4 linked regions of the Oreochromis niloticus genome follow. The protein of the gene in region 4 binds, or shares a complex with, the protein of the main gene of each other region. Links are inferred from orthologs where the notes say so. Each region holds a gene or a part of one and is shown on either strand. Other genes may lie near its edges.

Evidence for each region.
Region 1: mybl2b (region 4) and rbl1 share a complex: the UniProt entries of both Homo sapiens proteins name them as parts of the DREAM complex. The link is inferred for Oreochromis niloticus from reciprocal best matches to the Homo sapiens genes MYBL2 and RBL1.
Region 2: the proteins of mybl2b (region 4) and lin52 are in contact, whole or in part, in a crystal structure (PDB 6C48), measured with the Homo sapiens proteins. The link is inferred for Oreochromis niloticus from reciprocal best matches to the Homo sapiens genes MYBL2 and LIN52. Residues at the interface, in NP_002457.1 of Homo sapiens: Trp663, Val666, Ala667, Gly669, Thr671, Asp673, Gln674, Phe676, Lys680, Ala681, Gln683, Leu684; in NP_001019845.2 of Homo sapiens: Gln84, Ala87, Tyr88, Gly91, Leu92, Glu94, Ser95, Met98, Thr99, Lys102, Phe103, Leu107, Glu108, Lys109.
Region 3: mybl2b (region 4) and lin54 share a complex: the UniProt entries of both Homo sapiens proteins name them as parts of the DREAM complex. The link is inferred for Oreochromis niloticus from reciprocal best matches to the Homo sapiens genes MYBL2 and LIN54.

What each region holds. Positions count from the first base shown.
Region 1 is NC_031970.2:5,191,261-5,199,209, reverse strand, and holds the start of rbl1 (retinoblastoma-like protein 1), read right to left. Parts: upstream 3,008-7,949; 5' UTR 2,854-3,007; coding exon 2,692-2,853; intron 866-2,691; coding exon 732-865; intron 371-731; coding exon 167-370; intron 1-166. Other genes in the region: si:dkey-222f2.1 (keratin, type II cytoskeletal 8), read right to left, coding at 4,501-4,619, 6,668-6,714, 7,765-7,841. UniProt on the Homo sapiens protein: Key regulator of entry into cell division. Directly involved in heterochromatin formation by maintaining overall chromatin structure and, in particular, that of constitutive heterochromatin by stabilizing histone methylation.
Region 2 is NC_031983.2:9,853,314-9,860,811, reverse strand, and holds the start of lin52 (protein lin-52 homolog), read left to right. Parts: upstream 1-4,491; coding exon 4,492-4,639; intron 4,640-6,700; coding exon 6,701-6,775; intron 6,776-6,860; coding exon 6,861-6,898; intron 6,899-6,997; coding exon 6,998-7,064; intron 7,065-7,253; coding exon 7,254-7,337; intron 7,338-7,498. Other genes in the region: pomt2 (protein O-mannosyl-transferase 2), read left to right, coding at 212-321, 424-490, 612-672, 787-865, 1,004-1,155, 1,237-1,328, 1,423-1,499, 1,589-1,660 and 5 more.
Region 3 is NC_031972.2:11,870,366-11,877,670, forward strand, and holds the start of lin54 (protein lin-54 homolog), read right to left. Parts: upstream 3,007-7,305; 5' UTR 2,873-3,006; intron 2,802-2,872; exon of another isoform or gene 1,611-2,801; intron 1,566-1,610; exon of another isoform or gene 1,411-1,565; intron 903-1,410; 5' UTR 874-902; coding exon 130-873; intron 1-129. Other genes in the region: cops4 (COP9 signalosome complex subunit 4), read left to right, coding at 6,432-6,505. UniProt on the Homo sapiens protein: Component of the DREAM complex, a multiprotein complex that can both act as a transcription activator or repressor depending on the context. In G0 phase, the complex binds to more than 800 promoters and is required for repression of E2F target genes.
Region 4 is NC_031970.2:33,717,042-33,724,957, forward strand, and holds the start of mybl2b (v-myb avian myeloblastosis viral oncogene homolog-like 2b), read right to left. Parts: upstream 3,010-7,916; 5' UTR 2,537-3,009; coding exon 2,517-2,536; intron 2,084-2,516; coding exon 1,987-2,083; intron 1,845-1,986; coding exon 1,773-1,844; intron 1,689-1,772; coding exon 1,596-1,688; intron 1,500-1,595; coding exon 1,279-1,499; intron 753-1,278; coding exon 620-752; intron 525-619; coding exon 465-524; intron 354-464; coding exon 156-353; intron 1-155. Other genes in the region: ift52 (intraflagellar transport protein 52 homolog), read right to left, coding at 4,624-4,665, 4,740-4,885, 5,969-6,077, 6,222-6,309, 6,389-6,543, 6,669-6,737, 6,877-6,960, 7,050-7,176 and 3 more. UniProt on the Homo sapiens protein: Transcription factor involved in the regulation of cell survival, proliferation, and differentiation. Transactivates the expression of the CLU gene.

The sequences.
Region 1 (7,949 bases), about 29 Mb from region 4:
AGTGTTGAAAATTGAATGTACTTTAATATAATTTGCACTACAAAGTCCAGCATCAAAGGGATTTAAAGCAAACACTTTCAAAGTAGATCTTAATACTTTAGATATAGAACTTTACAAGAATGTTAACCAAGGGTTAGACAAGCAGCTCTGTGTGTGTTAGTGTTACCTGTGCTTCCTGCTGCGTGGTTGCCGTGGCGGGTCGGTTCCCTGCGGATTTTGAAACATGTCCATGAAGATGGGTTCAAACTTGCGGAAAATCACCGTGGAGACCTCAAAGTTGCGTTCCAGGCGCTCCATTCGGAGCCTGAAGTCCTGTGAGAGCTTGGACATGTCGGCCCACTTCCTCATCTTGGAGAAGAACTGGATCAGACTGAGGAAGGGACAGAACAAGCAGAAGTGTACATGTTCAAACACAAAACAATGGAGGATAGGCTCCCATTAAAACTGTAACTGGAAATTTTGTAACACACTTTTTAAAGGATTTCAGTTTGTAAACATTCATTGTTTATGGTCAAATTTTTCTACAGATAATACAGAAAATTATTTCACTTTCTGTGTTATCTGTAAAGAAGACACTGAATCTGAGTCTTTTCTTCACCATCAGTCATCTAAAACCAGGTAAGTTACCACCTCATAATTTATTCGGCACACTGATGTTTTTATTGCTTTATCAGTTGCTACATTTTTCTTAAACTGCACAGTCAGGTCCCGCAGAGCTGACAGAGATTCACCTGAGTTTCGAGGAGCGAAGAATCCTGGTCAGTGAGACACAGTTTCCTTCCATCAGCCCTTTGCCCACTGTGGGAGTGGACCCCTTCCTGCAGGCTGCATACAGTGAACATGCCAGCCAGTGTACAACATCTCCCTGCAGAGAAACAGCAACACAACATTTACACATTTGTCTTCGATACATAACATAAACATAAAGCTTTGTGCATCATGCAGCTGCATGATGCACAATCATATTCAAAAAGTTGGGAGTTCGCCTTGTAATCGGAAGGTTGCCGGTTCAAGCCCTGGCTTGGACAGTCTCAGTTGTTGTGTCCTTGGGCAAGACACTTCACCCGTTGCCTACTGGTGGTGGCCAGAGGGCCTGGTGGCGCCAGTGTTCGGCAGCCTCGCCTCTGTCAGTGCGCCCCAGGGTGGCTGTGGCTACATGTAGCTTGCCATCACCAGTGTGTGAATGTGTGTGTGAATGGGTGGATGACTGGATGTGTAAAGCGCTTTGGGGTCCTTAGGGACTAGTAAAGCGCTATACAAATACAGGCCATTTACCATATTCATCTTTTTAGTCAAGAAACATCAAACTGATCAGAAAACATTTTGCTGTCACAGCTTCGTAAATGTAAATTAGGAATCAACATTATACTTATAAGCGTGTGTCTGTGTTTTTTTTAAAAGAAACCTTTCCTGCTTTTATCCATGTTTTTATTTTTGGATTCTACTTAAGCTTAAATAATAATAATAATAACAATAATGACAATATTGATAATACATTTTATTTAAAAGTGCCTTTCAAAACACTCGAGGACAGTTTACAGAACAAATAAGACAAGCATAAAAACAGGAAATGAACACAATAATAAAACAAAGTTTAAGAGCATGGAGTAGTTAAACAGAGTAGGTTATCTATCTTTGCATGACTCATGGTTTCAAATAATTCCCATTTATTGTTTTTCATTTTAATTTTCAATAAACAACGTTGCCATGAATTTTATGCATTTAAGTGAATAAAAAAATATTTATTCATTGAAATCAGCCCTATTCAAATAAAGATATGAGTTTAAGAGGTTTTTTTTTTTTTATTTTTTTTTTACAATGACCATTTATTTAATTGAAAGGAGGACGAAATAACAACACAAAACTAACTACAGAAGAAAAACTACTAATGTCATCTATTGGCCAGACTGATATTTCAAACATCAGTACTGACCTAAAAATTTCATCAGTAGTGGATCCCTATACCGCAAGCACTCTTTAAATTACTGCACAGCTTCACCCACCCACACTAGTATACAAAAACAGGCTTGATATAATTTAAGTCAAGCGTCTTTATGTATGTATGTTTATGAAAAAAAAAATCATGACCAAGGTCTGGGGTAACAATACGTTTTCCCCCTTTTTGTTATTCAGTCCAAACCCTGATGTGAACAAAGACTGTGGTTCTGGACAGTAGTTACATTCAATAAATAAAATATTATGATTACTCTAGTGTCTACTTTATCAGAAACTCACGCCATCACAGTAACCCAAACAATAAACAACATATGACAACAACAGCTCAACAAAATAAATCCCAAATAAATCTATATACGCTGTCTTTAGTCTCTAATCTATTTTTAGTTTATTTTATTGTATATATTTAGCTTAATCCAGCTGATACCTGCTGTAACATTAACGCTTCACTTGGACATTAAGTATTTTTGTATTGGAGAGGCCGAAACCAGGGGTGACTCTGACACAAGAATAAATCAGCACGATCATTTTACTGGCAATATGATTAGTTGATACACAGTGGCGATCGACTAACCGGTGCAACTCCAGCGTGGAAAGTAAAAACAGAGCCCTTTAACTGCTGTGTTCGTGTCCTGGTGAAGCATTCACTACGCATGAAAATTAATCTACAGTAATGAGCTTAGCAGGAGTCTGACTCGTTAAACAGCTACTGACTATTTAGAGGACATTATTCACCTCCAGAGTATATGTATTCCATATGGCAGTAAAGTTGTCCATGGCTTCTGTGGCCGTCTGTTCGTCCATGTTCAGCTCCTGACACAACGTCTCCAAACTCCTCCGCACCGAGCTCTCCTCCATCCTGCTCGACTCCGAATCTGAAGACTCTTCGCCCCGCATCCGCACCAGCGACAGGTGTAATTTCAACCTGAGTTCAAATCTAAAAAACAAAACACAGCGCCCCTCTTTCCCACTGCCAAATAACACAGCCCCCCAACTTGTTCAGGACACAACAACTTCCGTTATCAGTCCCCCACAATGCAGCGCGTTGGCGCGAAAACTTCACGACCCGGACCAATAAGAGGCGAGGGGAGCGTCGGTCCCGAGCTGTTCGCCCAACCCCCTGCCACAAGCTGAAAGCTCGTGCTCAGCCGACGCTCTGGCTCTTTGCTTTCAGCTGTTACCAGGCAACCACGTTCGAAGCGCGCGACCGAAAACATGTTCTATTAATTTATTTTAAATTTTGATTATTGGTATTTAATTGAACACGAGCAAAGCTATACGGAATAGAAAATAGAAAACGTTTTTATTAACTGTTAACTGTGTCAATTTTAAGATGGCCTACGAATGCGTTCCTTTCCCCGCCCCCGGAAGTTTAATGTAGAGGACTGAAAGGATCCTAAATTTAAAATACTGGAAAGATTGTAAAACAGAAAAAAAGGTAGCACTTGTAATAACCGGAAATTTTGACTTATGGGTGGCTTTTTTGTGATTCTAACCATGCATTTTTAATTTATATTTATATTAAACATTTATATTAAATTCAATTTACATAGTAATAAAATAGTAACGTCTACAGGTGTGTTTAAAATGCGTATTGTGGCAGAACTTCCTTCTAGAACTTTGAATCAAACTTTTAACTTCCAGAAGTAGCGACCCTAAACTGGATGAAGCTTGGTGGTTGGATGGATGCATGGATGGATTGAAAGGTATTTAGTTGTTTGTTTTACATTGCCATGGGACAAACCTCTAACCTCAGCAGGGCCTCTGGTATGTTCAGATACTGTATACTGTTAACTCTGGGTATATTAATTTTAACTGCTGGTGCATGCTCATGCTGTAATATTGTTTGGTCTTTTGTAACAGTGATGCTTAATCACATTAAAAAAGGGGAACATGGGGCTGACTGTATAAAAATAGCACATTTTAGTGGGTCCTCTGAAATGCTGAGTCTGAGTGTAGCAACGCGACAGAGACATCAATATAAATAATTCAAATGTGACGTATGATTAGCATGGAGTTTTTTATACTTTGGATTTTTTTGCTTTTACAGAAGTTTCAGAAACAGGAAAGAATAAAAAATCAAGAACATTTTTGTTTATGATCACTTTATTTTTGAAAGCAACTAAAAAGTAACTTAGCCCCCTCAAACTAAACTACTTCTGTAGCTAAAGAAAGTTAATGTTCTTTATAGTAGCATAAAAAATCTCTTTATAACCAGCTATCCTAAACTCTAAACTCCAATAGTCGTATGACCGTGTAATCTCAGTACAGATTAGACAGTAAATAACACAGCACTCTACCACAGTGTGTATCAAAACCCCATATGATTAAAGCTAGACTACTCAGCACACTAAACGAAACACATTAAAATCCTTAACAGTATTAGGAACTAACAACAAACCCCAGGACTACTCCCACTCGGTTTTGTCATTTACATCATTTATGTTTCCATTATTCTAAGTAAAGTAATGAAATGCCCCGTGGAGCCCCTCACACATTTAGAGACAGCTTTTAGAAAATCACAGCGGACCAGTGAGTGTGCTCTCAGTGAATGCTGTATCTGCTGTTATCTCTGGTCTCAATTGTCTTTATCAGCAGCTTCGGGGCAGGAGAGCTGGAGGCACTTTGGTAGCCATTAGTGCTTTTAGTACTTGAAGAGAAACCTGAAGAAAAATACAGGAAGATGTGTAAGACAAAATTTCACAAAATACAAATTCTCTGTCGTTATTAATGTAACCTCTCAGTCCAGGGGCCCGTTCTTCGTACCTCGCTATGTAAGTTAGCCGGATTTGATTGTTGACGATTTCGCGTGATCTTGGATCGTTCGGTTCTCCGAAGCTCATCTGGGACTTGCTGTCATAGCAACAGATCCGTAAGCGTAAACCTGCTCGGGAGCAGGTTTACTTTATGTAAACAGGATTAGATCGCGGCCACTCAGGTATGTCCGCTGCATGTACACGAAAGCAACAGCGATATTTCACCACTGTTTCTCCATAAATAAATATTATCAATGTAACTAAAGATAATGCAGTATTTGATTCTTTTATTGATTGCATACAGATACATACAGGTCATTTCCTAAGAAAAAGGGAAATGTACTAGTAATCATTCTATTACACGTATTTGATTATTTCAGATGTAATTCGTATTTTAGAGTAGTAATAGTAAATTACTTCGTGTAATCAAGATGAGAGACCACGGCTATAAAAGCGAAGGTGGATTTGGGAAGTCTGTCGCAGTCATGTCCTGTCCGTTTGTACGCGAGCAACCCATTGCGGAAGGTGCAAGATTGATAAGGAGAGTTTCCAGAATTCAGCGTATATTGCGGGATTGACAGGATCCGTCCTGTCATACACATACACACACACACACACACACACGAGGGGGTGCAGGACCACCACCTGTCTTTATTTGCTCTGCCCTTTTCTTGGTTGCTGTTATGAACAAACAAACAGATTATTTCAGGGTCTCTTTTCAAGAGACTAAAAGCAATATAAGTGATAAATATTACCATTCTGTAGAATATTCTTATATTTCACTTTTACTTGTCCCCATGTTCTAGTGGGTCCTGTTGTGGCTCTAATGTGAAAGAGGATATAATGGAATATGATATAATAAATTATTTACGAGTTTAATTTGTCAGCAACTTTCTGCCAGCCCTCTCTCCTTGCTTTTGCAGCCTTTGCAGTGTTCCCTTGCGTTTTAATTAAACTCTGAAACTCCTGATATCCCTCAGTCAAGAGTTCTTGCTCTGCTGCCGTAAAATACTGAGCGCGCGCCTTCGACATCTTCGCCGACCAATCACAGGGTTGCCGATCAATGTTTCTACTATCGATGCGTAGCCCCTTTTGAGACACCCAGTGATCTCGCATTACTTCATCCAGCTATACTGATCGTCAACAACAGGTGTGTTCGGAGAACCGGATTAGCGAGCTCAAAGTTAGCGCGATGATTTGATCTTGGATGTGTCATTTGATCTTGGATGTAGTAAGCGAGGTACGAAGAACGGGCCCCTGAGCATCAAGGGTTTAGTCATATAAAAACATTCTGTCACGGTCCCCGTGTCTCTCTGGCTGGCTCACGCTGGCTACAGGTTTTGTTGTTGTTTTTTGTTTTTGTTTTCTTTGTCTCTCCTCCTCCTCTCTGCCTGGGTGGAGCTCGTTACGGGCTCTCGCTCTTGGCCCACGCACCTGTGATTGTCTCCACCTGCTGCTGATCTGGCTGATTTCCCCAGCTGCTATTTAAGGCAGTGGCACAGAGCAGCTCACCGCTGGAACGTTGAACCTCCTGAGTTCGTGCTCTCGGCATTATCAAAAGAATCCTCTATGTGAATTTTGCTGTGGAACTAACGTTGAATTCTGTGTGTAGATATCCCTCTTCTGGACCAAATCATGGGACCTGCCCGGGTGTGGCAGCATGTGTGGAGTTTCGGAGCAAGTGCGGCTGAAGAGGAGTGCGTGTGTGCGGAGGAGCTGTGGCGGTGACTGTGTGGAAGAGGAAGCGTGTGTGGATCCCCCCCCTTCTCTCCCCAGAGCCCTGGACCCCCCCTCTCCCAACTCACTGTACATATATATAGCACTGAGGTGATCCCTGTTGTAAATAAATAATCTCCTTTTGTTCTCAAAGAAAGAACTGTCTGCGCGTGAGTCCGTCCAGTAGCCATGACACATTCATATTCATACACTAATCTGCCTTAGTATTTGACACTTACTGTAGTTGGAGATGGGCTGGATGTTGAGGATAGACTGTTGTCCAAGTCTGCAGAGGCAAAAGAGGAAAAAAAGAAAAGAAAAAGAGGTTATTTATATTTCACTTTTGTGGACTCTTTAACTCTTCTGTTCCATCCTGGGCTGTAACCATGTGGTGTCACATTCCCACCTGTAGAGGGCACTCTACCCTAACATTACCCAAATTCTGTTTCATTTCAGTCTGGTGTAGTTCTCACTGATGTCTCTATTATCGCTCCATGGGGTATGATAGCCCCGTTGACCTTGAATTAGATACGCAGAAGAAAATGGGTGGATGAATAAATCATGATAAATCTCTGGCTTCATCTGGGAAACAAAGAGCTGCAAAATGGCTTATCAGCAAAAAGTATAAAAGTCATGAGCACCACAAATGTTTATCTGGCATTAGCAGAAAGACCTGAACCTTATGGCATTCACACAATAAAGAGAAACAGGAACTAGGAGTTAGCAATACAAAAAACCTTTCCATTGGAATCAGATCCTTGTCTGGTTCCACTGTTTCTAACTATTAATTTAAGATTTAAACTACATTATTATTATTGTGGCACACCGACAAATTAAAAAATGTTATTTAGTGCAACATTTTCTTTGCATTCAGAGGTTTTCTGAGGGGAAATTTGGGTGCAGGAACAAAAACAGAGTATATAAAAAATCCAAAAAGAATTCACTCATCTACAGCAACGTCACATTTTTGCGAAGCTTTTTAATTTACAAAATTATCATATGAATATTTTTATCCATAATATCAATTTTTAATTTAATCACTCTTAGTCTCAGTGCCGGTATTTCACTACCAATCTCATTCCAGTAAATCAAACATCAAACTAAAATTACCCTAATGATGGTCATAAAGGCTCCTGTATACACACATCCATGAGTATACATAAATAAAGAAATGGTTTATGAAGTAGTTTACTTTTAGTCAGAGTCAGCAAACATAAGATTATGCAAGTAACATTGTAGATAAGCCTCTCGCAATTTATTCTTATTGGTTTGGAAGGATGTACATTCTGGTGAACTCTCTGCAGTGGTAGAGTCTGAATGGAATAACCATAACCACCTGTCCTCCTCTCCTTCCAGCAGCTTCCTGTAGGTGGCGATCTCAATATCCAGAGCCAGTTTCAAGTTCATCAGGTCCTGCAGGTGAAGACAGAATCAGTTTCACTTCACGTAATTTCACTTCACGTATGTTCTATGTTTTCTTGTCTATCCTTTGTTTCTACTTATTTTATGTTTAGTTTATAT
Region 2 (7,498 bases), on a different chromosome or scaffold from region 4:
AAGAAGAGAAAAAACACACACAAATATTAAACACCTCCACCCTCCAGAAAATACAAAAAACATTATTATGTCAGTATAAAAGTTTTATTTTGATTGTGTGCATTATGTGGTTATGTGAGACATAAACAAAAAAATGTGTTTAATTTAATCTATTAATTTACATTTTCTTACGATGGTAGTGATCCTATGATTTGTTGTTTTTCTCATGCAGATCTGGCATTTGGCTCTACCGTTACAATAAAAAACCTCCGTATTGCTGGAGGTTATTTGCACTCTCATTGGCACTTATACCCAGAAGGAGTTGGCGCAAGGCAGCAGCAGGTCAGGCTAATTGTTGAAAACTGAAATATTTTATATATTTATATTTGTAGTTTCTTTGTTTTTTTAACTTTAAATGTTTTCTTATGATTTGTTTGCTTACAGGTGACAGCCTACCTCCATAAGGACTACAACAACTTGTGGGTGGTTCACAGACAACAAGATAATAATTGTGAGGAACTGACATTGATATATTTAACAATGTTGCCAAAGACAATGTTAAAATCCAACTAGGATAAGGAATTGTTGTTTTATTGTTTATATCTATTGTTTTGTTTTGTTTTTTAAAAAAGCTCAATCTGGCAACCCTGATCTTGTTCGCCATGGTGATATCGTTCGACTGGAGCATAAAGAGTAAGTATTATGAATGACAAGAAAAATGCACATTTTATTTAAAGTGATTCAGTCTCAGTTCCTTCCCAAATCTCTTTGTGTGTGTGTGTGTGTGTGTGTGTGTGTTTCTTTCAGGACAACACGTAACCTTCACAGTCACCTCCATGAGGCGCCTCTGACCAAGAAGCACTTCCAGGTTACAGGTTATGGCATTGTAAGGAAGGCTTTAACATAACATCTGCACTAAAAATACAGATTCAGTTGGACTTGACATATTTATTGCATATTCTGTTTTGGGGTTTTATGGGTGTTCTGTACACCAATACTAAAATTATTTTTGGTCTATTCTTAGAATGGCACAGGGGACGCCAATGACCTGTGGCAGATGGAGGTGTGTGGAGGTCGGAAGGGTGACCCAGTAAAGGTGCTGCGCAGCAAAGTTCGCTTTCTACATCGAGCTACCGGCTGTGTGCTTTACTCCTCTGGCAAAACTCTTCCAAAGTGGTAAAACTAGCATACTTTTAAATTTGAGATGACTTTGTACACAACAGGTCAAAACGCACTACAAATGTTGTTTCTGTTTAGGGGCTGGGAACAAATAGAGGTGACCTGTAGTCCCTACTTGAAGGAGACCCCAAGCTCTCAGTGGAACATTGAGGACCATATTAATCCAAAATGTATGATCAATTCATTCAATGTATTCCTATTTTGTGTTTGCACTTCTTGATGTCAGACAGCAGCTAACATGTTGTGTATTGTGTGTTCTGGCAGTACCCAACATTAGTCTGTCTGTGCTGAAGCCTAATTTTCTGGAAATCTTACTGGAGTCCCATATTGTTATGTTTAGAGTAAGTAATAATAAGAGAATAAATAAGCTCATCTGCTTTAAAAGAAAGTGCATCTTCATTTCTTTTCTTTTTATTTTATTGTCTTTTAGGGAAATAGTGGCTTAAAACCCAAAGACAATGAGATGAATTCAAAACCTTGGCACTGGCCCATCAACTACCAGGTGCATTACACTCTATATAAAATCTATTTTAGTTATATATATAAATATAAATTTATACTTTTTATCTTTTAACTTAATGTAATTTGTTTCCGTGAAGGGCTTGAGGTTTTCAGGAGTAAATGCGACAGAGTACCGCGTTTACCTGCTGGGGAACCCTGTAAGTTTGTTTTTAAGTTTTTATGCTTACAATCTCATTTAACCAGCAGATCAGTGTCCTCATGGTGAAAATGGTTTTCAGGTGGTGTGGTGGATAAATCTGGCCAGTTTGGGGTTGTATTTCACCATGGTGGCGGTGGCTTCCATAGCCACCCAAAGAGGTTTTTCACTGGGCCAACAAAGAATAGGTATGGTAAATAATGGTGGCTTAACAGTATGCTTTTGCATAGTGACTTTAAGTAAAGTAGTATTGTCCTGTGTTTCAGAGCATTCTCTTGTGCTTGTGAGAGGAGGTGGACTGCTGATGCTTGGTTGGCTCCTGCATTATGCACCTTTTTTTACGATGGGTCGTATCCTCTACTTTCATCACTACTTCCCTGCAATGCTCTTCAGCAGCATGCTAACAGGTACCAAACTGTGCTGGATTTCTGTATTCCAACTATAAAGTGCAGAGGGTAGTGCAGAGTTACAGAACTGAAGTAGAAGCCACACATAAGAAGCTTTTTTCAGCAGGTTTGGTGGGTGTAGCCAATACTTCACTTACAACTTACTTCACTTAATGGCTTGCATTAGAGCCGACAGTGTTTGGGACACAGTTATCTCAGTTTTGCATACTTGACTGACAGTTGTTGCAATTTTGGTTAAATAATTGTATTTTTTTCCTCCAGGACTGACGTTAGACATCCTTTTCAGAAGTGCTGACCTTCTACTCCACCCACCTTATTCTTATTGGTTCCAGCGAACTGGGCAGCTGCTGCTTCTGTTTAGTATTCTTTACAGGTGAGCTGAGTAGTATGAAGAATCAGCTTGTTCTTAACACTGTCAGAAACAGCCTATCATTACTGTGAGATATCTGCTACATAATGTAGTTCTTTATGATACTCCATCCATTGTTGTATACTTTGATTGATGCTCTTGATGCTCCTAATGGTTTAATAAGCCATGACGTTCTTGTAGCTGTGGATGAAAAGATTATGAATTATTAAAGGATTGTTATTGTTTTGTTGAGAATTAATGACAAGATTAATACCTACAGTCCATCATGATTGATAAATCATTTAAGTTAAAGGAAGCAGGTGCTCTTAATATGCTACATATTGTCATGTATATCATGTAGATGTAATACAGTTTTCAAGTTTGGATGGACTATCATACAGATATTCTAATAGGATTACAACTTTCTCATCTGGCTCTCAGCAAGAAGCTTCTCTGCTAATTCTTACTAAATATGAAAAGAATAATTACACTGAGGGTCTTACATGAACTTCTTGCTGCTGTGACTTTAGATCTCACAGCCCATTTTAGCACATGAATGAAAGTTTTTCATCTGCTTAGTGTAACTGACTGTGATCCATTCATTGTCTGTCAGTTTCTACCTGTTTCATCCGCTGTCCTATGGCATGACGGGTCCGCTAGCACACGAGCCGGGCAGCGCCATGGCTGGTCTGAAGTGGATGGACTCCTGGGAGTTCTAGTCTGCTTTGCAGGAAGATGACACTAATGATGTGACTTGCACCAACTGTTCTGAATATAAGGGACTTAAAACTGACAGAGTAGAGTGTTTGCACATAGAAGTGATTCTTAAAAGGTACTGATTGAATTTGTACGTGTCTTAGTATTTGTGTCACAGCATTTGCACCTGACGTTGTCTATCATGCATGAAGAATGCTTGATAAAGCAGACCTAACTCAATGCAATGTGAAAGCCAGATTGTGGTGTAAGTGGGAATCTTAACTTTGTCTCTGAGAGGCCTTAACTAACATCACAACTTCTGTTCCTAGATTTAATGTGTACTGTAATTCAAAACAATAAGCTAAAGTGCCTGAAAGGAAAAAGGTTTTAAAAAGTAAGTTTTAAAGGTTTAAATGCTACATGTCCCTGATTTTTGTTTTTTAAATTTTGTACATAGTTGGAAGCTATTAGACTGTATTTTGATTAGGGATTTTCTGATTTTACTCATTACTTAGTATTTTGGTACTGTACTTAGCCAATAGTGCTTTGTTACTCGCTATTTTTACACTAGGTACCGACTCTGTGTTTACATTTTAATGTGATCAATAAACAGTGATCCTGCATTCTGTATCTTTACTTATAAAGTTTTCTGCTTTTTTTAAGTTGAAGGAAATCTTTAAATTGTTTTTATGTTCTGTACAATAACATGAAGCATGTCTTTATTATTATATTGAGTTGAACCTTTTTTTATTTTACTGAGATTAAAATGATATTTTCAGTGTTGATAATTAAAATATGAATCACCACTTGAGATATCCCCAAAAGCTCAGAAATGTGTAGAAATCTGATAAAAGTCAAGAGTTCAAAGTATCATTCCAGAAATATCCCTGTAATAGCATAAAAAGTAATAGGGTATTGATTGTTTTAAAACATTTTTGTCCAAAATTTTAATTCCATAAAAATTATATCCAATATAATTACAAAAGGTCAAAATATCCTTAAATCTGAAAACTTTACACTGCTTGATATAGGTCCCCCTTGAAAATAATTACGTATAATATAATACATTGCTTTGGTCGCAGGTGTATAAACATATTCCTGTGGTCCCAAAGTTATATTGTTAGTTTAAATGTAGGAACCGAAGTCACCCCGATCAAAATATAACCGTCAGTTACTTAGTGTTCGTTGTATATTTTTTCTGATTTGAACTTAATACTGGGTTTATGCTCCAACATTATACCAGCGGGCCGCCTGGTGGCGTGTTTCTGAAGTACACCACATACACTCGTCAAATGTCAGAGCTGCTGCTGCCGCTGCCATTGGCTGTCGTTTATCACGTGATTATTGTGAAGATGGCGTCTCCAAATGGAGGTAAATTCTAATTCTTTACCCTGCGACGCTGTGTATAAAATGTAAAATTGAGATCTTTAAGCACATTAAACCGTTAAGAACTATAATCCTGTTTTAGCTGAAGACCCACAGACGACAGAATACGCATGTTAGTGCCGTATTTTTGCTGTTTGGACATGTTTTTCCGTTGGCTAAAGCCCTCACTAGCCCCGGCGTTCGGTCCAGTAAATGGGGAAGAAGAGCGGGTAGCAAGCTTGAATTCTGTCGTGTAGTCTGACTCACAGAGCTGAAGCTGTGGATGCTGCTAGCTAAAATATTAGCTGTTAGTTACTGCTGTACTACTAACAGGTTAAATCATCCCTCCTTAGACCAGTTTCATAACAACTACAGTGTTTTTGTTTCGGTTGTATTTCTTTCTTCTTCTTTTTTCTAACGTTTTTTTCTGTGTTGTACATCTCGTTACTCTTATTAATGGGAGCTGTGTACTTGAAATTTATCATTTTGTATGTTTAACAGTAAAGCGCCGTGTGTTTTAAAGATGACTGTAGACACTCACTGTTGTACCTCTTTCGTAATTTCTTCCATACAAATTGAGAGTAATTTGACCCAAAATTTAACATTGCAATCCATCCAATCTAGTCTTTGTGTAATTTGACATACCTCAGCCTTTTCTCCCCTTTTCCTCAAATGCACATTGCATTCTGTAAATATGCCAGGTTTGGGGGTAATAGCTCTTTGGGTTCCTTGATGTGCAAATGCTAATTTATATTGTCAGTCCGTGTTTCATTTGTCATTTCTTTGTAGGCTCAACTGAAGAAATTAGAGAAAATTATGTTTTGCAATTGGCTGCTAGTAACAAAGTGCCTAATACCTCTTGAGTTAAGTGATTTTGTATGCTTGAATGAATTCATAGATCAGTGTTAAGTGGCTTGACAAACAATCCTCTTAAAATGGTCACGTATTAATGATTAGGTGGAAAATAAGGGGAAAAGTAACAAATGGCCAAAGAAAAACTTTGAAATATCTTCACTAAATCTGGAGAACTACTGGTCAACACTGGTCAAAGTCTGGTTCAGTGGAAGGAAAATGTAAAGAAATGATGGGTGGCTCAAGACTTTTGCACTGTACTGTACATGGCATTAAACATGGAAGAAGATGCCTGGGGCTGTTAAAATAAGGTGTTATCACACGATTTGCCAGACAGACTGGCTCTGACCCAATTTTCTGCCTGTATTGTCACTACTGTGTGTAGGTCATGTTACTGCTGAGCAGATAATGGTACACAGTCAATCAGTGTTTGTGAAAGTTTGTGAAATACATTGCTGGAAAGCTGGTAAACAGCCCAGCATTTTCCACTTTTTATACAATTGTGACATGCTGTATGTATACATAGACAACTTCATCATCCCTCGTTAATTCTTAAGGCTGTTACGTCCCTGTAATTTCACTGGATGGATGGAACACCACCATTCTTACTAAACATAGATCCTTATCTGTTATTTTTTAATGGAGCGCCTTGTGACTTATAAGTCCAAAATAAGGTTTAGTGACTGTGAGTACCATAGAATTTGATATAGATGGGACCATTGTTATTCTATAAAAGACAACTTGCATCAAAATAGATTTTTTTTATTATATGATAAAGGTGATCATTCAGCACAGCTATGTATTGATTTTAGGAGACTCATGTTTCTCTGAACAAGCCACTTATTCAGCATTATTCAGTGTTGCAGGGAGAATGGAGCCTATCACAACTGTCACTGGGTGAAAGATACCCAGGGATTTTTTTTTTTTTTAGTAAAGATGTTTTTCTTCTGTGAAAATCCATCCATCTATTTAGTGCCACTTACATGTTCAGGGTTGTGGGGGAGCAGTCTTAGCAGAGATGCTCAGACCTAGCTCGTCAGATGCCTGTACCACCTGAGCTGGCTCCTTCTGATGCAGAGGAGTAGCAGCTCTAAGGGAACGCTGAAACATCATTTCACGATGTCATTCTTGCATTTGTTGCCCACAGTTCATGCCTCGTGGTTACAGTAGGAACTTAAATCTACTGGCTCTAATTTGTTTTCTTTGTCTCGATAGGTGATGATTTTGAGTCATCATTGCTGAGTTTTGAGAAGTTGGATAGAGCATCCCCAGACTTGTGGCCAGAGCAGTGTAAGTTTATCTCCTGCGCCTATGTGACTGGTTACCGTAGCATTTATTATGCATAAACTTTATTATTCTCTGATCTCTCATACAGTACCTGGAGTCGCAGAGTTCGCTGCATCTTGTAAAAATGTGAGTTAGATTCAATATGGCTGAGTTTGAGTTACACATTAGAAACATAAATAGGCTTGTCACACTTCATGATGCGTGATCTGTAACTCTTTATCACAGCCCATCTGCAATTCACCCCCAAAATGGATGTCAGATCTGGAGAGTGAGGATATTGAAATGTTGAAAGGTTGGTCCAAATAGCCAAAATTATGTTTTTTTTTCCCAGACAGATTTTTCAGTTTACTTGTTACAGTTGGTGTTAAACAGAAAGACTGGGGGACAGAGGCAGACTTACTATATAATCCTGTCAAATGGGTTAACATTTTGCTGAAGTTGGGTTAGTGCTTTTATTATGGGTCTTATTATCCTTCTGTAGAGCTGGGTAGCCTGACCACAGCCAACCTGATGGAGAAGGTCAAAGGACTTCAGAATCTAGCGTACCAACTGGGCTTAGAGGAGTGTAAGTAAACAAACAGCACACACATGCCAGTGTACAGATAATCCAGCCTTTATACCTTTAAAATCACTAAGAGTTCGAAAAGGATGTGGTCACATGTTACCACTAGATGGTGCTCATAGGCCTCTCTTGGGTTTTGCTTCTCTGTCTGGAAGAAGTAACTT
Region 3 (7,305 bases), on a different chromosome or scaffold from region 4:
CAGTATGTTCAATTGATATTGACGCAATCATTTACAGTAGTAAATATATTTAATTTAACAGTAACATGTGGAACATGACAAGCAATATTTTTGTAAAAATGTATTAATAATACAAAAGGTCATTGTTACCTGGACAGTCTTCAGCTGCTGGGTCTGTAATGTGGTCACCTGGTTGCCCACCACTGGCTTCAGGTCTGACCTCCCACCTATAGTCACCACTTTAAACTGCGGAGCTTGAGACTTGGTGTCCCCGGCAGTCTGTGAAACACCAGGCTTGCTGCCTGTGTGGGGTAACTGAAGCACTATAGGCTGCCCTGATTTTCCTATAGCTGTAACCAAAAGTTTCTGTCCATCCTGCTTGATGACCTGAGGTGGATTACCTGCAGACTTTGCTGCTTCTGAGGCTTGAGAGGCCACCTTATTGAGAATAATCTGGCGATTTGCAGGAGAGATTGTAAATGGAGTTGTGAGCTTCTGTAATCCACTTGTAGTCACACTAGTTCCAGTAACACTGTCTGTGGTTTTGGTTGTGGCTGTCGAAGTAGCCAAGCCTGGTTTGATAGTAAGAAGAGGAGACGATGTGCTGGAATTTGAGACAGGAGGCGGACTTCTGGGGCTGGCACTAAGCATGGAGTCTGTGGCTGTGGAGGTGGTCATAGCCTGAGTGGGTTCGGTTAAAGCGGCGTCTGAACAGAGGCTCACGTTCTCTGAAGCCATGGGTGTATCAGTTTCCATTGGGACCGATGCATCATCACTGGGCTCTGAGTGGACTCCAGTGGTGCCAGGTTGAGAGTGAGGAACATCCTCTATATCCTCAGTATCCATGATCTCATCAGGGAGGAGGCTGTTGAGCTCTGGTGACACTACATCCATGCTTGCAAACTCTCAGCTTTCTGTTAATCCTGAAAGAACAATACAATTAACTTTAATTGTCATTGCAAAATACATCAAAAACACCAGTAAGCCACAACATTAACACCACTGTCAGCTTAACTTATAATACAGGCACACATGTTCAAACTCCAGCAGGTCAAATCTGTTTTATTGGCTATTAGGCAGGAGGGTTTTCTGTTGTATTTGATCACTTTTATATTATTTGAAAGACCTAGAAGCTTACATTTACTGCACTAGATGCACCATGAACAGGGAGAGACAGACAAAGATAATACAATTTTAAAATTCTGAGGATATACATTCATCATTTTAGAGAGCTGTTGCATTTAATTGCAGTCAACAGTGTTTGCAATTCATTTAAAAATGTATTCCTCTACTCATTTATACAATATACATAACTGGATTATAATACAGACAGACAGCTAAAAGCTGTGCTGAGAATATAGAGCAAGATAGTTCAAGCTAGCGAGCTAGCCATGTTGGTGCAGTAGAAGTGCCAGATTGTCATAACTTTACCTGTAAATCACTTCAGTAATTACGTGAGGTGTAATAAATAAAGAGGTGGGCATGAGTAACGTTTGACTTGTGCTGATTTTGACTGAAGCAGACAGCTGATGCTAGGCCGCAACGATCATCTCTGCCGTATCTTTGTCCTGCTGCACTCTACTCAACATTAATCCACCGAAACGCACATATGAACCCTACCCACTCCATACCACATTCACACGCAGAGCTGACTGAGCTGAATCTCTTCACGTCCCCAGATGAAAGCCATCAAAAGAAAACTGTGCTGAGTTGCACTCGTTTATTTTAAAAATGCCCAGAAGTGGTCCTGACTGGGGCAAAGAGCGAGGAAAAAAAGCGACAAGCTGTTTTGTTGGCTGCGTTACTATTTCAGGCCGGGGTTGGATTTCGAAAGATCCGCCATTTTTACCTCGTCATCAGCTTAGTTAGCTGCCCGGCTAACGCTAAGCTATGCTGAGGGGAAGCGTTTATAAATATTGGTAATAAGCAGAGACACTTACACTGACAGTTCACTGCAAAACAAGCATTACTAAACAATCGCTGAAGATAAGACTTGATGTTAACAGGGTGCTGCTGGCGAGTAAAAAAACAACAAAAAACAACAACAACAACAAAACTCTGCAGACTCTGACAACGTAAACAATGCTAGCTTTCACTAATTTCTCCTGTCACTTGACATAGGAGGAAATACAACATTTTAATTCCACAATGCAATTATTGCGATTGCTACTATAGATCTCCTTAAGAGCATTTACAGTCTGTGTTTTAGGGCTGGAGTTAGCGTGGCCTAACCAGTTCAAAATGATGTTTTAGTTTAACCTCAAGAAAGTCATATTTTGACTGAGTTATAGTCTGAGAATGAACCAGAAAAGCGTAAATTCCAAGAATGTTACGGGGTCAACAGCTAAAGTAATATGAAAACAACTAACAGCAAATGGAACTGCTGACTTGTGCCTTCTAATATTTTACATACATATAAAAATATCTATGATCCTTTAGACGTTTCGCCAGTATGTCAAATGAAACTCGATGTGCAGCTAACTTAGCTTTTACTTTTCATTTGCCGTTGCAGTAAGTAAACTTAGCGGCCGGCTCACATGATATTTACACCAAGTCCCTGTTTTGTGCACGAGAAACTTTCCTTAAGCGCTGAAAATACTCTGCCGAACCAAGTCCTGGGAATATTATACTGCTTTTTCACCGGAGTCTATCTTTAAACATCGTTATCGTTATTGTTATCATTATCACCATCAGCAGCAAAGACAGCAACAGCAGTCTCATCTAGACAGCCCAGCGGGCAGGACAACTGTACTAGCAAACTTGCTGAGCTTGCTAACCCGAGCTAGCTAGCACAACATTATATCTCAACATTGAATACATTCTTTAGTGTGAGTCTTTATGTTGAATATAGTGTGTTAAATCCTAGAAAGGGCCAACGCATAGTCATGCTTACCCCAAATTTTTAAGCTAAGCAGCGTTTCCAGATAAAGGGAGGAAAGGAAAAGACGATTGTTCAAAATACCGCGCCGAGCGCCATTCCTCCCTGACATTTCACAGGCCGGCCACGCCCTCCACGCGATACGAAACACTGACGTAACACTTAAAGCTACAGCACAATTGCTTTATCAACGTTAGGACTGTTTCTACAAAACTATTTAATGCTTCTTCTTCTTCTTCTTCTTTTTTATAGTTTTTTTTGGGAAAATAAAAACTTTTATTAGTTTATAAAAAACAAACAACACAGTCAGCCTTGGAGCTCGTGTGCTGGACATTACCAAAATCTGACAGAGCACTACCCAGCAGCCTCACTAAGTGCCCAGTCTCACGTACCACTGTCAGGTAGTCAGTAAATAATAAGGTGGTGGACATGTTTACTTACATGTCCCGTAGTTTCTCTTACAGTAACAGTGGCAAAACACATGAAATGCACTTCAGAAAATCAGAGAAGATAAACTTCACCCTGCAGTTGTTACTGCCTAGATGGGAGTAAACTGTCTTCAGCATGGAGATTACGCCATGATTCACTCCCAGATTCGACCTGCTTGCATACTACAGAGTGTCAAGAGATGTTTTCGCCTGAGGTCTTAGGCAGGCCAGCGTAGTCTCTTCAGTACATTCATCATAAGTCTTGATGCATTCTCAATCATCCAGGAAAGTAAATCTCGAAAAGTTGAATCTGATCATCTGGACGTAGCGTTTTGTGGGAGAAACGTTTCGTCACTCATCCAAGTAACTTCTTCAGTCTCAGCTGACTGCAGGTTTCCCCAAACCTAATAAACAGTACATTTGCATAATGACTGAAACCAGCCCACTGAAGGAACAATGGGCTGTGAGGTCAGTTCCTTAATCATAATTATGCAAATTCCCATGACCATTGATCAACAATCACTGACCAAAACCCACTGATCAAAGAACACTGATCAATGGCCATGAGTACCATTCACTTTGAGTTGGGGAATGGCTGCAATCACAGCGTTGTAAGATGGCGAAAGATGTACCCTCAGGCCCCCTCCTCGATTCAGAGATGGTCTTTCCCTCTTCACGTAAATGGCCTCCTTGACTCCGCGCTCAAACCAGCATTCCTCCCTGTCCAGGATGTGTACATCCTCATCATTGAAAGAGTGTCCACTGGCCTGTAGGTGTAAATAGACTGCAGAGTCCTGGCCTGATGAGGTTGCTCTTCTGTGTTGTGCCATCCGCTTCGCTAGAGGTTGTTTGGTTTCCCCGATGTATAAATCCTGACAATCCTCCTGGCACTTAACAGCGTACAGTATGTTACTCTGTTTGTGTCGGGGGACCTGATCCTTGGGGTGGACCAGTTTTTGGCGCAGCGTGTTTTGGGGTTTAAAAGCCACAGAGACCCGGTGTTTAGAAAAAATGCGTCTCAACTGTTCCGATACTCCTGACACATATGGGATCACTACAGGTTTTCGCTTGGGCAGCAGTTGTCCTTCTCTCCTGGATCAGCTGGAGCTTTCTTTAGGTGCCTTTCCCGCTTTGACAAAAGTCCAGCTGGGATAACCACATTTACTCAGGGCCTTCTTGATGTGCTGTTCTTCTGCCTCCCTGGCCGCTGTGTCTGTGGGGATGGTGTTCGCTCTGTCTTGTAGCGTCCTGATGACACCCAGTTTGTGCTCCAGTGGATGATGAGAGTCAGACCTTAGATACTGATCCGTATGTGTAGGTTTACAGTACACGTCAGCCTTTAGATGTCCCCCATTACTGATGGAAATCTCACAGTCTAAGAAGGCTAACCTGCCACTTTTCATATCCTCCCTGGTGAATTTGATGTGCCGGTCCACCGAGTTAATGTGATCTGTGAAATGTAGTACGTGATATGATTAAGGTACTGACCTCACAGCCCATTGTTCCTTCAGTGGGCTGGTTTCAGTCATTATGCAAATGTACTGTTTATAAGGTTTGGGGAAACCTGCAGTCAGCTGAGACTGAAGAAGTCACTTGGATGAGTGACGAAACGTTTCTCCCACAAAACACTACGTCCAGATGAACAGATTCAACTTTTGGAGATTCATCATAAGTGACATGAGGTCCAGTTGATAGTCAATGAGCTCTTATGGTGCTGACTTTTTCTTGTACAAAAGTCGATACATCAGGCATGTCTTTATGTATTTTGCGTAATACTTATATACTTTTTGACTGATGTTGATTATAGATATTTAGTTTTTAACTGATACCACTTGTATATAACTTGACCTCTGGTGTCATATGTATTTTATTACTATTACTATTATCCAACATTATTTAGTTAGGCTATATATTTTAGTTGTATTTTACTTAAACAAACAAACAAACAAACAAACAAACTTTTGACTGGTTTGACAAAAATGTCAGCTCAATTCAATTTTATTTACATAGCATTTAAAAAGTAATAAAAAGAAAACCCATACAGTCAAATGAATCCCCAAGAACAAACACTTGGAAACAGTGGAAAGGAAAAACTCTTTTTTACCAGGAAGAATGTGCCAGAGGGTACAGGGGCAGCCATCCACTGCAACTGGTTTGGAGTGTGGGGAAGAGAAGAGAGCAGAGAGAAAGACAAGGCAAAAGACACGCTGTGGAAGTCTACTAGAGATTAGCTGTAACTAATGATTATATGTAAAGTGCTGTATAAACACACAGAAAGTAAGAAGTAAGTGAAGAAGAAAAGTTATTCATAAAAGTAGAGAGGGTGTCTGTCTCCTGAATGCAATCTGGTAGCTGGTTTCTCAGAAGAGGGGCCTGAAAGCTGAAGGCTCTGCCTTCCATTTTACTTATAAATGCTCTAGGAAACACAAGTAAGCCAGTAACTCGAGTGTGAAATGCTTTGTTAGGGTGATATGGTATTATGAGATCTTTAAGATAAGACAGGGCCTGATTATTCAAGACCTTGTATGTGAGGTGTAGAATTTAAATGGGATTCTGGATTTAACAGGGAGCCAGTGAACGAGAAAAAGCCTTGCTAGTCCCCGTCAGTACTGTTACTGTAGCATTCTGGATCAATTGAAGGCTTTTCAGGGAGCTTTTAGAACAACCTGATAATAATGCTTTACAACAGCCCAGCCTAGAGGCATTAAATACAGAATGTAGTTGTTCAGCATGTCTGTGAGACAGGATATTTTATTGCGCAAACACAAGAAAGCCCCTCATATTTCAGATGATACTAGTGTTAAAAATAGATTGACCCTTTTTTAGGTTAAAACACAAAATTACCAGAAAAAATGTAACCAAATATAGCTATGATTATTTTCAGGAAAGGGATGGATAGTTTATAATACTCACCAAGTTTTGTTTAAAAACATATATTATCACTTAAAATTCAGACAATAAAAAAGTAATACAATAGATCAACATTTAAGCCTGGCCTAAAATAATTATAATCATTCTTTTCCCTCTTCCGCTCCCATGGCTGGCTGCGTCACTTCCTGGCTGAGCTCTGCGCTCTGACTGCAGACGGAAGGCTCTCCCCTGTCTTGGCAGAGGAAACCGGTGTTGACACTTCGACACAGGCTACAATGGCGACCGAAGTGAGGCAGGAGCTTACACAACTGATGAACTCAAGTGGATCTCATAAAGATCTTGCTGCCAAGTATGTAACGTTAGTTAGGGAGAACATCACTCGTTAAAAACTGCAACAGAAACTGCTAGCTAGCAGCTAGATACTGGTCTGCACAAAGCTAAGCTAACGTTAGCTGCATTAGCCATACATCCAGATAAACCAGATAGAAACGCAATCAGTCTGTCAATGTTTGCTTTTAGGTTTTATCCAAAGTGCAAGGAACATAAAAGGAGTGACTACCCACATTAATTGTTGGTAAAATAATTATGAGAACTGTATATTTTATCATCCAAGCTAACTAGCTAACTTGCTGCTCTTTAGCTGCACATTTGGTGCAGAGCACAAGGTAATAATAATAATAATAATGATAATACATTTTATTTGAAAGCGCCTTTCAAAACACTCAAGGTCACTGTACACAGTAGAGTAAAAAGCAACATAAAAGCAAGGAGTTTACACAATCATAAAAGCATAAGACATAAACAAATTTAAAATAGCTTAAATATAGCTTAAATACAGTTTGAACAAAGTGATACTTGACTAGAAAACTGCCAGGACACCCTTTGCGTACGTTCTTACCATCCTATAAACAACATCTTTATTAGGAACACCTATGCAATCCAAGTACAACTGTGCTGTAAAGTCTACTTTTGCAATTTCAGTTTTCGTCAGTATTGTCCAAAAGGTGATAAATCTATTTAAAAGGTATCTTTTAGGTCCTGTTGTATACGTGTTTGTATAAGAAGAAAGTGTTTACTGTATTTTTATCCACAGTATATGCTAATGGTTAATTAAAATGGAAATATTTAAATAGCTGTTTATTAAAGGGG
Region 4 (7,916 bases):
GAAGAGACATTTATTTGTTAGGTCAGCATGTAGCCACAACTGTGAAATAGCCAAGACTGAACAGATGCAGAACAAACAGTATACAGAATACATTATACACAATATAAAACCGGGACAGTTTTTTAAAATAACCCTGTGGTATTGTGGATATTTACCCCATCCACCATGTCTAACACTTCCTTCAGAGCTGGGCCAGTGGGAGACAGGAATCCGGAGCTGTCCACCACCCAGCTAGTGCTGTTCAGTCCTCCTGTGCTGTCCACCTCACTCTTGGGGCTCAGACTGTTGCTTGGAGAGGGAACAGACTTTGACAGCCCAGCTTTGCTGGGGCCAGCTTTAGCTGTTTCCTGCAGCTATTGGAAAAAGAAGATTCTATAACAACACTAGTATAGACTAGTTTCTGATACTTAAGGTAACGGTGTTATTATTTTTTTTTTTTTAAATGAATCTGAACAGTCACTTACTGAAGGAGGGATCTTCTGCTCCGAGTCCTTGTCTGAACTGTCTTGAGAGCAACTGGGCATCTGTGTAATGAGAAAAAACCCAATTTCTGTATCTTACCATACATATCTTTTGTATCTTGTATCATAGAGGAGGACATCATGGAAACACAGCCCACCTGACCATCCTTGCTAACACGAGCCCACAGCTCCTCCAGCTCATTGGGCCTGAAGACCTCCCCGGAGTAGAAGCCCATCTCTAACTTCCGTTTGATGGTCGAATTCCAGTGATTCTTCACTGCATTGTCCGTCCTGTCAATATATATCAGGACGTGAATTGCAGTGTTTCCCCACATACTGACTTCATTTGGCAACACAAAGTAATCCTCGCACTTATTTTGAGAGTTGACTTATTGTTAAAACCTGGCCCTTCTCCTGAGACATCCAACAATGTAATTACACTACCTCTTAAGTGTGTCTCACGTCCTGTGGATGAAAGGATTCCAGCAAACAACAGTAGACAATACTCTGCTGCGAAGATCTGCTGTGACCTACAGGCTCAGTCTAGCTGGAACAAGTTCCTCGTGGTTGAGAACAGAACGAGAACTACTGTTTAAGTTTAAGACTGTGATGTAGGAGTCCATTGCAGGACAAGTGACCCACCGGATAGGCAGCTGATTAAATTGTTCATCAGTTGTTACAAAGTATCTGACAAGCACGGCAACGTATCAAACTTTTCTAAGTTAAAAATTTAAGAATTCACTTCAGAAAAGAGCAGGAGTTTGCATGTAAAAGCTCACATCAGCCCAATTCTGTTTCTGGCAGAGTAGCTACTTGCCTTCCAGGGAGCAGTTTTGCGATCTCAGCCCAGCGATTGCCAAGCAGGCAGTGAGCCTTATAGATGATGAGGTCCTCCTCAGCCGTCCACGAAGACTTCTTAACGCTGGGATTGAGGTGGTTGTGCCAGCGCTCTCTGCACTGCTTCCCCAGTCTGCCTTTCAGGTGCTTGGCTACCAGCGCCCACTGTTTGTTGCCATAAAGATTCACAAGCTCTATAACCTAGAGGACAAAAAAGAAAAGTTAAAAAAAAAAAAGATCACCAGCATGCTTTTATTCACAACATATTTACTCCATTCACACCTCTGAACTACCTACCTTCTCATCTTCCTCTTTAGTCCAGGGGCCTTTCACTAATTCTGGGTCCAAGACTTTAAACCAGCGATGCTGACACTGATGTTCAGTATGATTCTAAAAAAACAAAAAAGCAAACTCAAAATACTGAAAAAGATTTCTGTTGACATACATTCTTACAGAAAAGATGCTCAGACTCACAGGTATGTAGCTGGCTATGGTTTTCCAGTCATTTGGTCCCAGTTTTTGAACCAGCGTTTTAAGCTTGTCATCCTGTATACACACCAAAAAATGAGCATTTCTTATGATCCCTGTCCTCCTCTAGAGCCATTTAAATTATCTGTTTACTTCAATGTTTAAATGAAGCAGTCTGGTTTACATTATATATATTAAAAAAATAAAAATAAACAAATACCTCCTCTTGAGTCCATTTCACCTTCACTTTCCCTCCATCCCTCTGCTCTGCCACATCAGAATCAGTGTCCTGATGCATGGCCTCCTCTCCATCCTCACTGAGAAACAAACAACTGTGATGTGGACGAACATAGCTGACAGACAACTCACTACTGACCGGCCCTGGTGATGTCCGGAAGACAGCTAGATTATCGTTCTTATTTTTCTAGCCAACTTGGCGGATAACAGTTCGCTCGCAGAAATAACACAGTTTGCCAATAATGTCTGTGCTGAGCAGTGATTTATTTATCTAGTGTGATCTAAGAGAAACCGTGTTTGGCCTTAAGTTTAACCCAAAGCCTGTTTTCCGTGTCCGGAAAAAGGGCGGCCAGACACAAGCGAGCTCCCAGGGATAGCAGGGTTAGGTCAAACAGTGAAGACTTCAGTTTCCAATTGACTGTATTAAAAAGAATAAGTTAAATACTCACGTCAACCCCCAGTGTTAAAAAACACACACACAGCTAATTTAGGTAATAACGATTAACATCTTACCCGCGCGGCCACCGGGACATTTCCCTCTATTTCTGTTGTTTACGGTCCGAAAGCGATTTCTCCGGCGGCCGTTGCACGTCATGTGCATACGTACTTGGTATTATGTCGTCGTAATACCCGTGATTAATGTCTTTATGCTGTAGCCAGTGTTGGTGATGGAGGCTCGGCACTGTTCTAATGTTACAGCCTATACAACCAGCTGGTGCGGAGCGCCAGAGTTGTCCGCGCTCTTGGATTTCTATCTCGCGCTCTTCTCTGTCGTAGGAACCGGATAGTGACGTAGCTGCGCATTGGAGCTGCGCGTAGCCACAGAGAAAGCTTCCGGTGGAACTTTTTTGGGTTTGTCCCAGCGCTGTAAATTTTGTTTTATTATCGTAAAATAATGTTTTCTGCAGTCATTGGTGTGTCTCAGTCAAACACTGTAAACACCCAATTGCTGAGAGGGGAAGTTTAGATATTGTTACATAATAAAACAGTAATGAAATTTAGTTTGAAAAAACACGATTTTTCTACTACAAAATTTCAGACACTTTCACATAAAAGTGTTTACTTATAAAGTCATTTTAATTTATTTTTTGTTTGTTTTTTCATGTTTACACCTTTAACTAAATATACTTTCTACCATTTTCCTTCCCAGAAAATCTATAGTATGTTTGCGAACAGCTTTTAAACAATACAGTGCTTATTAGACCACCACCCGGTGTAAGGTTTATGCACCAGCTGCCTTAAATTGATAGTACTGGTATTCAAAAAGTATTTTTAATGTTTCTGTAGTGGTTAGTCCACCAGTATGTGTAAGCTCTTTAATAAAAATTATATTTTTAATGCTAAAATTTTTTTTTTTTTTTAAACAGCATACAAATAAATAGTTTTTAAAAGGTTTAGTGATCTTGTTAAAATTACAGCCTTATATATAACCTAACAGATTAGCGCTCAATAAACCACAAGTAAATTACAGGGCCTGAATCTGTACAGGGCTGACAGGTCCGCCTCCTGCTCCCACTGATGACCTGCAGCTGGGTCAATTAGCAAGCAGCTCCAACAGCTTAAAAGCCAGCTGGAGGAGGGAGGCAGCCCTGATCAAACATGGAGAAAGTGTTTGTGGTCAAAGGTAAGAAAACTAGACTGAATTAGACGTGTTGATTTGCCTCATCAGGTGATTTGTTTCTGAATTCTGTCTAACATGTTTTACCTTCTAGATATGAAAAGCTTTGAGTGCTCATCTCCATCAGAGCTTGACAGGAAGTTTTATGGGGAACAGAGTCTGCTGTCTGTACTGTCACTGGAACAACTGTCCACATCGAGGGTGTCGAATGACACAACAGCTGATGGATTGGACACCAAGCCGTCTATTGGAGCCTCTCTCTGCCTGTCCTCTGACACCGCCTCTCCCTGTCCAGGGTTTTCAGTGAACACCATGAACACTCACGAAGCTGATGGCTGCTACCTGGCCGTCCCGTTACAGGGGAAGTCCTCCACTCCCCACATGCTCCTTCAGAAGCCAAAGCAGGCAGCTTGTTTTGATCAGTCATACAGCGATCTCACCGCCTCACAAATGTCATGGGACGTGTCTGTGATCAAGTCGGAGAGCAATAGCCCTAGATTCTACGTGGAGTCCTGCACTCTGGAGCAAACGTGGAGTCCAAAACCCTCACAACAAGAGTCACTAGCTGATGTTTCACCCTGATGTGGCTAAAATTAACACTTTACAAGGGAAAAATGTTAGATGTCAAGTGTGATGTGCACTCCCAGCCTCTGCACCCACTATGTCCAAGTTAACACCCCCCCCCCCAATCCATAGTTTGACATCATGTTCTGTTTTAAAGGATCCATGTGAGGACTGATGCAGAACAGTTTGCCTTTTTAATAATCACATCAATGTTTTAACTACAAAAATATTTTCAAAGCACTGTTAAATAAAGGGTATAGAACTTTATTTGCTCTGGTATATTCTTACAATGAAAGACAATACAAAGTTATAAAATGTAGCTGTACATGTTCTGAAAAGTGTGGTTACCACAGTCCCTCCATTGTAACTGTGCTCATAAGCTCAAACTGTGCTAATTTCAAAAGGGACGTATTGAATGTTCAGATTTCTTGAATCCAATCACAGCGGAGTGAACCGGGCCTCAGGATCCATATCGTGTTCCTGCCAAAAGTGAGGAAAGTCATTTTTGGACAAAGCCTTTAGATGCAAGCAGATGTAGTTATGAACACACTCACCTGATTTAGTTTCTTGAACTCTACAACCTGGAAGAAAATGTGTTCCAAGATGTGCTTGGCATCCCTCTGCTCTTTATCCAACTTAGGAGTCACTCCGAGAATTTCACCACATTTCCGGACGTAGAATTCAAGGTCATCGTCTGTACCTGTGAACACAACCCATTTAATAACAGGATGAGTACGATTAACTATCTGCTTCAAAACAGGCAAGTTCAGAAATAAACTTAGTTTAAGGGAGATGTCTGGGTAGAGTGTACAATAGGTGGGACTAGGGTGATCAGATTTAAAGGAGACTCATGAGCAAACATTTAACATGTAAATATCTGTAGCGGGAGGATTGAAAGTAGCATCCCAACTGACGGCAGGTATCAACAGGCCTTTTTAGACTTGTTTAAAAAAACAAAAAAAAACATGCTGCATTTCCTGTTATTTGTAGTACTTTTATTCATATTCCACGAACATTTCATTCACTTTTGGTGATTTGTGAATTTAAACTTTAAGTAGTGTAAACAGAAAAATATCATGACATGCTAACCTGCAGGAGAACCATGACAGCATTCTTCAGTCATTCAATAAATCGATTCAATTTTATTTATATAGCGCCAATTCACAGTCGCCTATATTTTATTGTAAATACCCTACAATAATAGACAGAAAAACCCAACAATCAGATGACTCCCTATGAGCAAGCAACTGGTGACAGCGGCAAGGAAAAACTCCCTTTTAACAGGAAGAAGCCAACAGAACCAGGCTCAGGGAGGGGTAGCCATCTGCCACGATTAGATGGGGTGAGGGGAGGACACTGTGGGAGTAGAGTTTAGGTAGCTGCTCTGCATCGTGTTGCCACATGGCACTAAAGATAACAAACCCGGAGGAATTGGCTGACTTTTGAAGTGTCCTGTCTTACATATATATTTCGACTTTTAAAACTAGGTCAAATTAAAAGATAAGACATAGGTTAAGTCAAAATATGTGATACAAGAGATGAAACTGCTGTGCAGTCCCACGTAAAGAGGGACACCCGATCAACCTATATGAGATAAAGGATGGCTACTGAACTGCTGTGAAAATAACCACCTAGCTTCTCACACATAAGTAGCAAATGAAAGTCAGTTTAATGTGGAATCTGACTGCCCTGGACATGTAAGTCCTCACATACGCCTCCATCAATAGATATCTAGAGGGCTGCAGTGCATGTGTGAATGCTCCATTAGCAATCCTGAACTTACACTTATTGGTGAGCTGTGCCAGTCGCACTTTCTCCGACGAGAATGTTTCGTCTAGATCGAACAGGTCCAGCATGGGTGGTGGCAAATCATTTAAGGCAGGTGGAAAGACCTGAAAGACAGGACAGCACCTACTTTTGGCTTCAAACTTGTGGGACTTTAAGCAAAAATGTTGTCTTAAGTTTTCAGTTACATTGACGTGAAATCCTTTGAACAGAAAACCCCCAGAAAAAAAAAAAAAAAAAAAAAAACTCACAGCAGGCTGAAGCTGAGGCAGAGGAGTTTCAAACTGCGGTGCAATCAGCTGCAGTGGCTCAGCTTTCACATTAAGCTGCTTGTAAGCACTGCAAACCAAAGATCTGTTTTTAGCTTCGAAGGGAAACAACAGCGATTGGACTCAGGGGAGGGTGACCAATTTCTCACCTGATGACTTGGGGTAAGGTGTCAGTCGACAGATTGAACAAAGACATATCAAAGAGAGAGGTGAAGTCCCGTGGGTTTTCGTCTCCTTCTTGTAAGCACACTCTGAGCTGTTCAGACAAACAGCCAGTGTCTGGCAGCATTGTGTAATCTGTGATCTGGGGGACAAAAAAAAAGGACAAGAAGAAAAGAAGAACCTTGGCTCATTTAAAAAAAAAAGAAAAAGAAAGAGAGAGAGAACAATTAGGAAAGCCATTTTGCCATGCACACTCCTCTTCCTCACCTCTGGGTCTTCGGCATCAATCTGATTCAGCTGAATGTTATCGGTCATGAGCCACTGAAGCACAACGTCCTGTGATAAAAGAAAAAGTTGTATGCCACGGCAGCCAATAAAAAAAACTACTATTGAAATACTCATTTAAAGGAGCTTTATTCTAGAAGGATCATGCTTCTACCTTTACCTAATAAATTACACAAAAAAGTGGACTTACCATGATTTTATTGTTCTCCTCTTTGTCTATGTATTGATCACTGAACATGTGGCAGGAACCCAAGACAGCCAGTTTGCCAGAATTCTACATTTAAAAAAAAGTAATCTCCATGTTACCACATTTCTGACCATATGGTTAGGAAAAGAAAGTTGTCACTACACTGTGCCTCTGACCTTGCCCTGATAGAAAGCCAGGACAGGCCTGTTGAGGGGAAAGCAGACGGAGCCCGTTGAAAGAACAGCCACGGCCGGCTTCACCACGGTCAGTGTGGCACCGTACGGGTACACAAATGTGAGCGCCCTGCACAAAGAAAGACAACAACTCAAATTTGAAGTCTTTCTCTTTAATGCAGAAGATGGAGGTGTACAAAATTGAGACTCACTGTGCATTGTTTCCAACATTTTCATCTTCAATGATTCCCGTGACCACTTTTCCAGCAGCACGACTGATCTCCCTGCACAGGAAACAGGCAACTGAATTGATAGTTTGGCATTTATCAGCATACAGATGAAATTAGATAAGTGTTAGATTATGCCATCATAAATTTAGGCTAGAACAACCTGGGACTCTGTGAAATATACATAAAAAGAGAAAAACACTGGTGAACCTGTTCAGTACACCATTCGACACAAGCGCCTCCTTAGGATGGAAGTATTTGTAGTACACATTCCTCACCACAGCATCTTGGATGAACAAGATGAAAACGAATACAAAGCATTTTAAAAACAGCATGGGCAATGTTTGCATAGTTGTTTTTCCAACAAGGTTTCAATGCACACCATTGTTGACCATTACTCCGAAGTCCTCCAGGAGGAAATTGATGTTTGTGTCATACTTCATTTCTCCTCCTTCACCGAGCATGACCAAGATATTCCCTCCTCCATCCAGGTAGACTTTCAGCGCCTCCATCTGAAATAAAAGGAAATAACTACTGTGAAAATGTGTTTGCGGTTGAACAAATGAAAGAAGCTTAAATATTTTGGGTGGCCCTAAGCCTTGTAGAATTTTAGACTGCTTGGAAATTAGCCGGCAAATATCAT